Arabidopsis thaliana: one gene and its partner. The protein of the gene in region 2 purifies or fractionates together with the protein of the main gene of each other region. This does not show direct contact. Each region holds a gene or a part of one and is shown on either strand. Other genes may lie near its edges.

Region 1 (5,531 bases), on a different chromosome or scaffold from region 2:
CCTCTATAAATTAATACTCTATAAATTAATAACCTCTATAAATTAATAAATTCTTCAGGTTCCGAGTTGGGACCAGTGTAAAATGTGACACAAATCGATAAATTAATAAGATAATAATTTTTTTGAAAGTTCTATGTAAATATATGGTCTCATCAATATCATAAATTAATAATTATATAAATGTATCAACTATATATATATATTATATGTAATAAAATTCTTAAAAATATATTTATAATAATTTTTTGCTTAAATTCATATTTACCCTTTGTTTTACTATAATTTACATATTTTACTCTATCAAAATTTTTGGTGTTGTTTTCTAGAAATTATTAATATGTTTTACTTGTAACTGGTTTTAGAAACATAATTTCTATAATAAAAAAATTATAATTTTTTTTAAAAATTATTAAATTAGGAAAATCTCTTTATAAATTAATATTTATTGATTTATTGATAAATTAATACCTCTCTAAATTAATAAAATTTCACAGTCCCAACATTATTAATTTATAGAGGTTTTACTGTATTCAAAAAATATCTCTTATATTATCGACAACTATTTGGTAATTTTTATTAATTTATTGATAAATTAATACCTCTCTAAATTAATAAAATTTCACAATCCCAACATTATTAATTTATAGAGGTTTTACTGTATTCAAAAAATATCTCTTATATTATCGACAACTATTTGGTAATTTTTTAAGCTAAGTTAGGGATATATTAAAAATAATCAAACAAAAAAAAACTAAAGATTAATTTGGTGTGAATGGTTCAAAAGAGTAATTTAACCAAAAGAAATAATAATTAAAATGGTGAAATTATACACAACCCACCCACTAATCTATAAAAAAGAAATAGGTTCCGCAAACTTGTTGCGCATTCACCATTCTTTTTCTCAATTCAAAGGCAAGACACATAGAGCAAGAGAGATATAAAGAGAGAGATAGAGATAGATGAGATGGAATCTCAAAAACAAGAAAGAAGCGTGAAGGAGATGAAAATAGTCACTAAGATCATAGCATTTGCATCCATTTTCTCATTTATACTATCTTACTCTTCCTTAATCTCTTCTCTTCAACAAAGACTCCATTTGCTTGCCATGTATAGCAATCTTGTGGACAAGAAGTACATGTTCTTGTTATGCAATGGGATTGTGGGCTTTATCTTGGGGAGTTTCCATGGGAATTCTGACTCCCTTTCGCACGGTAAAGCCATTAACATCGTTGAACAAACCAAAGAAGTAGGGATCAAAGACTTAAAAGAAACAAAAGTCAATAAAGTAGTGGCATTACTTGAAGAAAGTAATGTTTCTAAAGAAGAAGAAGGAAGAGTTGTTTTATCTAGAGAAGAAGAAGAAGAAGTTGCATTGGTTGTTAAGGAAGATGAGGGAATACTAGTACAAGACCTCTCAATCACTAGACTAGATGATCATGATGATGACGATGCGATAAATGATAGTTTATTAAGTTCAGAAGATTTGAACAAGAAATGTGAGGATTTCATCAGGAAGATGAAGGCAGAGATTCGATACGGCAAGAGAAGTATATAACTTTTTTGAGTTTTGTTAACAAGTTAAACTGTCTTTAGTATTCATATTCGGCAGGAGAAGTATATAATTTTCTCTCTTTGGACAAGTAGATTCTGTATTTTTGGTGCCCACTTTTATGTATGTCATCCATATGAATCCATGCAACATAATGCTTTCTATATCAAGCATTATCAGCTTACTATGTTTTACTCTCTTAAGCTGAACTGAATTCACTTTCAGCTTCAGCATTCGCATAATCATTTCGATTCATCTTCTCTGTACCAGCTAAACTTAAGAGTGTGAAGCAACAGTGACACACAACATTTTGAATGGATTGCGAAGAAAGACAAACTTATGCAACAAGAACACCAAGGAAACCAACAATAGAGATATTGAAGAACAAAATATAAAACAGTAAGTATCTTGCAACAACAGTGATGTTTTATCACCAGAAGTCATACGTCTCACAAATTGGAAATACAAGCCGGAAAAAAAAAAAACAAACAAAGCCTTAGATCCTATCGATATCTTCGTCCTCAAACTCAACATAGTCATCATCATTATTATCATCATCATCCTCAAGATCACCAACAATTCCTTCATTAAGACGAGTATTCTCTGGAAGCTCACCATAAGCCTTAAGAAGCCTAGCCTCATCAGACATGTACTTAAGGATCACATCCGCTTTGTCATCTTGGTAATCCCTCAAACCAACAAGCACAATATCACCTGCTGCAATCCAAACCTTCTTATGCATCTTACCACGGATATGGCAAAGACGCTTGGTTCCATCGATACACATAGCTTCACATCTTCCATTTCCAAGCATACGAAGGACTTGTGCGTATTCTTGTCCATCTTCTTTGAATATAAGCTCTCTCTTCTCGTCATCTGCTTCGTTCTTTCCTCTCTTCCTGTTCTTTCCTCCCTTTCCCTTGTTCTTCGGCATAGTATCTACATACCAATCATACAAATGTTCAGTTAAAAGTTCTTCCTTTAAACATGCAAAGCAATACTCTTCTCTCTTATAATCTACATAAGCCTCTCAAACTTAAAGGACCAAAGCAAAACAAATACCAAAACAAGAACCTTTAAATCGCAAATGAAACCTAAAACCAAAAAAGAGACTTAACGATTAAGCTAAGCTATTAGATTGAATCAAAGTGACAAACTTGAAGAAACCAATCTAGGGTTTTCAATAAAAATCGTAACTTTGAATTGGGATTGAGCAATTTCGCATGAAAAATCAAAACTTGACAAGAATCAAACAAAACCCAACAGTTTCTGATCAATAATTTCTAGATAAGGAAGATCGATCGGCGATAAAGACTTTCGCCGCCGACGCAATTACTGAAAACCCTAAAATCGAGAATCAGGAGTAAGAGACGAAAGAAGAACACGAAGCTCACCACTATGGAACGATTCGAATCTGAGATTAAGCTAGAGAAAACCCTTGGAAGCGATAGATTCAGAGATATCTGTTGAATTTGGGATCAAAAGTTTTGTAGCTTGCGGCTGCGAAAATGTTCTCGATATCTCCAGAAATCTGTTTATAATAAAAGTAAACGTGTTTTGATTGTTGCCCTTAGTTTTAGGTTTTATTACGGAACCTTACCACTCATTCAATCTGAGTATCTGACATTTGGTTTGGTTTAGTTTTTCGATTTTCTATTTGGTTGGATTGAAAAATCGTTAGTTCGGTTTGAGTATTATATCAATTTTGGATCTAAGACCGTAAAACCTTTCTTAAAAAAAAGAAAAAAAACAGTTAAACCTCTAAAAATTATAATATTACAGTAAAATTTCTATAAATTAATATTCGATAAACTAATAGTTTTTATAAATTAACAAATTCTTCCGATTTTGAGTTGTAACTATAGTAAAAATTAATACAAATCGATAAATTAATAAAATAATTTTTATTAAAAAAATCATTGTATAAAATTAATATAATATGCTCTCATCAATATCATAAATTAATAATTTTATAAATTCCTTAAAATATATATATATAAGAAATTTTAGTGAAACATAACCTTTGCTATATTCCTTTTTCATTTTTAATATTTTTACTACATTCAAAACTCTTTTTGTTGTTGTCTATACATAATAAATTTTAATTATTTTGTAATTGGTTCTAAAAAGATAATAATTACAAATAAAAAAAATCTTTTTTAGAAAAAATCTTTTAAAAATTACAAAATTAGTTTAAACTCTCTATAAATTAATAGTACTTTTATAAATTAATAAAATTTTATTGTATGATGAATAGTTGAATACCTCTATAAATTTTGTTACAAATGTTGGATACATATATACAAATTACAATCTATACTAAACCAAATTAACCGAAAAACAATCCTAACCAGCATTAAACCGGAGCTATACATATGTAGTAGATCAGTTTAATTTGGTCTCACTCAATCCCAAGAAAAAGGCCGTTCTTTGCATTTTCTATCGTTTCATGTCTGAGTGACAGAGGAAACCCCAAAAACCTCCGTAAAACCTCACAAAAGAATGCAGCTTTCTTCTTCGTTTCCAATTTCACCTCCCAAAATCTTCCCTTCCACCAAACACCATAAACCTCCAGTGATTACTCACCAGCTCGCCGCACAGATACAGAGCAACCGTAGACATTTCGTGAGTCCCGTCAAAGTCTCTGGCTATTTCTCATCGATTAGCCGAGCTATTGAGGAAGAAGAAGAGTATCGGAAAGCACGCGCTGCAGTGAACCGTAAAGGTGTCGAATTGGAGAGTTATGCAATTGAAGGGATCTCTGTAGGTGGGCACGAGACTTGTGTTATCGTCCCTGAGCTCAAATGTGTCTTTGATATTGGGAGGTGCCCTTCTCGTGCTATTCAGCAGAAGTTTCTTTTTATCACTCATGCCCATCTTGACCATATCGTGAGTTGTTCAAAATTTGAGTCTTTCTTCAAAACCCTCTTTAGATTTCGTTTAAAGTTTCGGCCTTTTGATTGAATTGTGGATGAATCTTAGTGTTGAATTGATGATACATTTTAGTTCAAAATAGAGCCATTGTACTATGATTTGGAAGGATAAGGATTAGTTTTGTTGAACATACTTTTAGATTTGGTTTGATGTTTCTGCTTATTGATTGAGTTATGGGATCTTTTGTATGAATCTTGTGGCTAAGTTTAGTGTTTTCTTCAGGGAGGGCTTCCAATGTATGTAGCGAGCCGTGGTTTATACAATCTTGAGCCACCGAAAATATTTGTGCCACCATCTATTAAAGAAGATGTTGAGAAACTTCTTGAGATTCACAGGACTATGGGTCAAGTAGAGTTGAATGTAGAATTGATACCACTTGCTGTAGGTAATGACATAGTGACTTGTTAAAAGCCAACCTTGTTTAGATAGCGAATCTGAGTTCTTTGTTGGTGGTGGCAGGTGAAACATATGAGTTGCGCAATGACATTGTTGTTAGACCATTTGCAACTCACCATGTTATACCAAGTCAGGTACTACACATCGTGAATGTGGCATGAGAGCGTCTTTTTTTTTTACTGATCTTGAGTTCTTTTAGGGTTATGTCATCTATTCGGTCAGGAAGAAGTTGCAGAAGCAGTATGCTCACCTCAAAGGAAAACAGATAGAAAAGATTAAAAAGTCTGGCGTCGAGGTTTGTTGCTTATAATAAGCCATATTTCTGATATTGAGGTTTGATAAAGTACAATAATATTGAACTTAATTACAGATTACGGACACGATATTATCCCCCGAGATAGCCTTCACTGGAGATACAACTTCAGAGTATATGCTTGACCCTCGTAATGCTGATGCGTTGAGGGCAAAAGTTCTTATAACTGAGGTACTTACTTGAATCCTATTGGCGGTACTGTTATATCATTTTAAAACTTCACTGGATTATGTTATAGTTTCTGAGCTTAACCGATCTGGCAGGCAACTTTCTTGGATGAAAGTTTTAGCACTGAGCATGCGCAAGCACTCGGTCATACTCATATATCTCAGGTACGAT
Region 2 (5,681 bases):
ATACACGGATGGAATGAATGAAACGAACGAAACTCCGAGCCAACATCAAATTATGTTCACCAAGTGGGATACAGGCCGATTTTGAAGGTTCAGTGTCTCTTGACATATATATTTTCGTCTATTAAACAGATTCATTGATCATCTTTGTAACTATACAAGAAAAGCTCCTTCAAAAGTAGTGTAATGTCATGTACTTGTAAAAGGAATGGGAGCTTAAGCAGGGAAAATAGTAAATTCGATTTGTAATAGTGTCATGTATTTTGTAAACAGATTCATTTATCTTTTTACATTATGATTCTCAAAATATCGGCCAAGAGACTCAAGACTGTATAATTGTCACCCTTTAGTTATGGATTTGTGATAATAATAAACTCGATTCGAACTTGTTTACATTTGTGTTTTATGAAACACTTTTTTAGTATAGCTAATGGCCTCTTGATTATGAGTCTGATATAGTTAAAGTTAAAGAAGATCACTATCTTATAAGTAGAAGCAATCGGAAACGAAAATGCAGAGGAGAATTTATTGTTGAAACTGAGAGATATTACATAAAATCAGAAATATGGGTTTGGCTAAGTTTGGTTTGAGCAACAGCAATCTCAGCTTGAGTTTTGGCTAATTCATTCTGAGTTTTCTGAATCTGAGTTTTAAGTAAATGAATAATGCCAACACAACCATAAACAGGATCATCTACTCTGCATTTTGCTTCAAAGCACAAAGATTCCACTGCTTCAGCTCTTGTCTGATCAGGAAGTTGCTGTCAAAAAGATCACCAAAATCCAACCATGAATACACTTACTTATATATATGCATAAAGTGTGATCTTAAATAGGATATTAGAAGAAGATACACAAAGATGTGTATAGATATATATACCTGAAGCATTTTGGAAACGTTTCCAGCACCATAGATTCTGTGGACACATGCAAATTTTTGAGGATCGTTTGGAGGGAAATATGGTGAGAATACGCAATCTTTTGGACATCTTCTTCTCAGATACTTGCAAGCTGCACATCTTTTTGGATTCATCTCAGATTTTCTCAGACACAAATATAAACAAATAACACAAAAGAAGAGATTGTGAAATCTTACACAAAGATTTAGCTATTTGTATTCCTTTTCGTTTCCTTTCTTTTCCAATAATCAAACGGCTAGTTTCCAGTTTCTGAAATTTGAGAACATTTACTTAAGGTAAGACTATTTATGTTGATTCTCACTTAGACTAATTAGACTTTATATTACCGTTAACATTACTGTTAAGGCAATATTAATGTTTAGCTAATTCTCAAATAGGCAATAAGAAATGTCTTCAAAATAGAGTATAATGAAGCTCAAATTTCTCATACATTTTAACATAACTGTTTCAGAAAAACTTAAAAGCGGCAACAGAAGATAATAGAGAGAGACAAAGTATATCAAACAAAAGTTCATAGTCTTTCTTTTTTTCCCCAAACTTCAAATCCTTCTTCAGATCTTAAACCACATTTTCTCTTACTTAATCTGAGTCTTCATAAACTTCACCATCGGATAATTCATCGAATGTCCTCATATCAAGCTGGTACCGCAACAATCCACCAATACCGCCAAAGCCTCTGCAAAATTGTGATCCTTCTTGGGACTTGTTAGTCACAAACTCAAGTGTACAACCAAAACGTTTATATTCGTTAGCAAACCATTCAAGCAGAGGCATCTTCTCCTGAACTTCTAACTCTGCATTAGTCTCTGCATCATGGAAATTGCTTTGGTTGTTCTCTTGATCCTTTCCCAAATGCTTAATCACGATTTCTCCGGTCGTGTTGTTCTTTAACTCATACCTATTAATATCTAGATTCTCCCACACTATAAGAGTCTCAACAGCACCCATTTCCAGAGCCTTTAAAGTATCTTCAACACCGAAAACATATTTCCCAGTGTCTTGACTAATCTCCTCAAAGTACTTCCCAATCAATTTCTTTTCTTGTATGAACTTCACATTAGATAGAATCTCAGCAGACAGCTCAATTGCTTGGTTGAAACCATTCTCTCCTCCGTAAGAAACATCAACCACATTCAATATCTTAGCTTGAAGACGAGGATCAAACAGTTCTGATTGACTTAGCTCGGTCTTAAAATCCGCTGAACCAGCAAGTATAAGACCAGAGACATTAGGCTGACTCGTAGCTGGATTAATGTAAAACTGAGTGGCAAGCTCCGCGGTTTTCCTCACATAGTTATGTCTCTTCTCCATCCTAAGACGAGCAAATCGCAACGCAGATTGTCCTCCTCTTCCGTGCTTTTTCGGAAGATCGACAGTGAACTTATGAAGAACCTCTCTTGTATTCCCACTCAAAGTACCAAACAAAGTTCCATTTCCATCCATAACAATGAAACCAAACTTATCATCAGACTCCAAAAGCTCATTCAAAGGCTCGGTGTGGAACTTATTGTCACACAAATACAACGAAGCATTAATCGGTTTAAAAGGCTCGAAATCAATCGTCACTTTCTTCTCTTTACCATCATCAGTAACAATGGTTCCAGTATAGAGAACAAGACCATTCGGAGGAACTTTGTTGTAAAGCTTCAATCTTTGTTGAGCAGAAGTAATGGCAGATAAAACAGATTGACGATTCACTCGACTCTTGATGTTTGAGGCGGTTCCGTATTCATCAGCAAGCATCTTAGTGACACGAGCTACTTGATCTCTAGGAGGCATTATAAGAGAGATCATACTTGTTCCATTACCTCTTGCGGTTTCAAGTCCTTTGATTAGCTTCTTAATCTTCCAAATCTCAATGTTCTTATCTGATTCTTGGTCTGCCATGTTTTTCCTCCTTCAAGCTTAAAACAGAGCACGCAGCTCAAAATCTAAAACAGCAAGAAAAATCGAAACTTTATAAGAATCAGCTTGAAATTGAGATTTCGATTGATTTAAGTAGACCCAGATTGAAATTGGAAGATTAAAAATGAAAACTTTAACAAGAACGGATTGATTTGATACACAAAGAGATCGAAGTCGCGAAGATTCACGTACCTGCGTGTGTCTCTCTACTCTCTATCAGCGATTTCTCGACCCAGCAGAAATGAGACTCCTTTAGGTTTTTGTTCCCCAATGGGTTTCAACTTTCAACCACTTTTACCGAACACGTGACTCTCACGTGAAGAAGATATGAAGTAATTTTGATTCTGTGTTTTTTAACGCGGGACGGATTATTCACCCCAAATTAGAGTACTAAAATGAATGGGCTGTCATGTATCATTATGGGCTTGGCTTTAACGTTAAAAGCCCATTATAAACGGACAATGTATTTTTTTGAACTGACTTTTATTTTTCTTCCTAAAGAAAAGTAAAGTTCGTGTAAGCCCCTTTGGTGGTACATTGGTTTGGTTGACCAAATGTTCATTAATACACCTAGGGATTTGGAATTCGAATCTCAGATACTGTGATTTATTAGGAGATCTCCAACGATTATACAATTATAGCCGTTCGCCAGGATTCTACGCAAAAAAGATCATTAAAGGTGTTCATCAAAAACATGGAGAAGAAGAAGGAAGTGTCGAGAAAGAAATATCGTCTGTCCGAAGGAACCTAAGCCCATACGTCTGTTTAATAATTCTCATAATTTACAATAAATAATAAGTATAAGATGGAGAAAAAAAGTTCAATTTGATAAATTACTGATTTTATTATTTGGACTTAGTTTGGTCTGTGAAGCTTCTCTGGGTCAAGAGACTCAAACTCGGCTCCCTGTCAAAGGAAAGGAAGATGGTGGCTTAGTTTGGTCTGTGAAGAATGTGGCTAAGTCCAAGTCTCTTAAGGTTGAAGATAGTGTTTTTGGGTCTATTTCAGTTCAGACCAATGGGATCTCTCTCGGTTTGGATAAGGTCCAGAAAGGAGATTCAAGTGTTGGACAGTTTGCTGTAATCATTGATAATGCAACTGAAAATGAGGAGGTTGGCATTTGTTCAGGCACAGTTTGTGCAGTTGAGGATGATTCCTCTGACGTGTTATCTACTGACACTGAAGAAGAGGCTTTCATCAAGGTTTTGTCTAAGCGTCAGAAGAGGAATCTACGAGGCAAGGGCCTCAAAACCAAAGCTTAAGTATGTGTACTAAGCTCTTTTGTTGGAATGTTCGCGGATTTAATATTTCCAGTCACCGCCGCGGTTTTAAGAAATGGTTTCTTTTGAATAAACCACTTTTTGGAGGTCTCATTGAGACACATGTAAAGCAGCCTAAGGAGAAGAAGTTCATCTCTAACCTTTTGCCTGGCTGGTCTTTTGTTGAGAATTATGAATTCTCTGTTTTGGGAAAAATATGGGTTTTGTGGGATCCAAGTGTGAAGGTAGTTGTTATTGGTAGGTCCCTGCAAATGATCACATGTGAGCTTCTTCTTCCTGATTCTCCTTCTTGGTTTGTGGTGTCTATTGTTTACGCTTCAAATGAGGAGGGTACCAGAAAAGAGCTTTGGAATGAGTTGGTTCAGCTTGCCTTATCTCCGGTTGTTGTTGGCAGGTCGTGGATTGTTCTTGGCGACTTTAATCAAATCTTAAATCCGGAAAGTGCTATCAATGCAAATATTGGCAGGAAGATTCGTGCGTTCAGAAGTTGCTTGCTTGATTCTGATTTGTATGACCTCGTCTACAAAGGTAGTTCTTACACTTGGTGGAATAAGTGCAGCTCTAGACCTTTGGCAAAAAAGATAGATAGAATTTTGGTCAATGATCATTGGAACACTCTCTTCCCATCCGCTTACGCGAACTTCGGTGAGCCAGATTTCTCTGACCACAGCTCTTGTGAGGTGGTGTTAGATCCAGCGGTCTTGAAAGCAAAGCGACCTTTTCGGTTCTTCAACTATTTCTTACATAACCCGGATTTCTTGCAGCTGATTCGTGAGAATTGGTACTCTTGCAATGTCTCTGGTTCTGCGATGTACAGGGTCTCCAAAAAGCTTAAGCACCTTAAGCTCCCTATTTGTTGTTTTAGTAGAGAGAACTACTCTGATATTGAGAAAAGGGTCTCTGAGGCCCATGCTATTGTGCTCCACCGTCAAAGGATTACTCTTACCAACCCTTCTGTTGTTCATGCTACACTTGAGTTGGAGGCCACCAGAAAATGGCAAATTCTTGCTAAGGCTGAGGAGAGTTTTTTCTGCCAGAAGTCAAGTATCTCTTGGTTATATGAGGGTGATAATAATACTGCTTACTTTCATAAGATGGCTGACATGCGTAAATCGATTAATACAATAAATTTCTTGATTGATGATTTTGGTGAAAGGATTGAGACCCAGCAGGGCATAAAGGAGGGCATAAAGGAGCATAGCTGTAATTTTTTTGAATCCCTCCTATGTGGTGTAGAGGGCGAGAACTCTTTGGCACAGAGTGATATGAATCTGCTTCTTTCTTTCAGATGTTCTGTGGATCAGATTAATGACTTGGAAAGGAGTTTCTCGGATCTTGATATTCAAGAGGCTTTCTTCTCTTTGCCCAGGAACAAAGCTAGCGGCCCTGACGGCTATTCCTCTGAGTTCTTTAAAGGTGTTTGGTTTGTTGTGGGTCCAGAGGTGACTGAAGCAGTCCAAGAATTTTTTCGTTCAGGTCAGTTATTGAAGCAGTGGAACGCAACAACTTTGGTCCTTATTCCAAAAATCACAAACTCTTCAAAGATGACTGACTTTAGGCCAATCTCTTGCTTAAACACT

Evidence for each region. Proteins that work in one complex are often made in the same cells at the same time.
Region 1: the proteins of ERF1-3 (region 2) and AT2G04520 fractionate together in Arabidopsis thaliana (co-fractionation; one large-scale study listed by BioGRID). This does not show direct contact.

Annotation. Positions count from the first base shown.
Region 1 is NC_003071.7:1,572,757-1,578,287, forward strand, and holds AT2G04520 (Nucleic acid-binding, OB-fold-like protein), read right to left. Parts: upstream 3,205-5,531; 5' UTR 2,944-3,204; intron 2,489-2,943; 5' UTR 2,484-2,488; coding exon 2,046-2,483; 3' UTR 1,806-2,045; downstream 1-1,805. Other genes in the region: AT2G04515 (uncharacterized protein), read left to right, coding at 965-1,555; CPZ (Metallo-hydrolase/oxidoreductase superfamily protein), read left to right, coding at 4,052-4,438, 4,706-4,868, 4,943-5,013, 5,079-5,174, 5,250-5,363, 5,456-5,524.
Region 2 is NC_003074.8:9,785,976-9,791,656, reverse strand, and holds ERF1-3 (eukaryotic release factor 1-3), read right to left. Parts: upstream 3,427-5,681; 5' UTR 3,014-3,426; intron 2,848-3,013; 5' UTR 2,804-2,847; coding exon 1,496-2,803; 3' UTR 1,206-1,495; downstream 1-1,205. Other genes in the region: AT3G26630 (Tetratricopeptide repeat (TPR)-like superfamily protein), read left to right, coding at 1-85; LBD23 (LOB domain-containing protein 23), read right to left, coding at 545-757, 877-1,029; AT3G26616 (uncharacterized protein), read left to right, coding at 3,516-3,552, 3,695-4,083. UniProt on the Arabidopsis thaliana protein: Directs the termination of nascent peptide synthesis (translation) in response to the termination codons UAA, UAG and UGA. Modulates plant growth and development.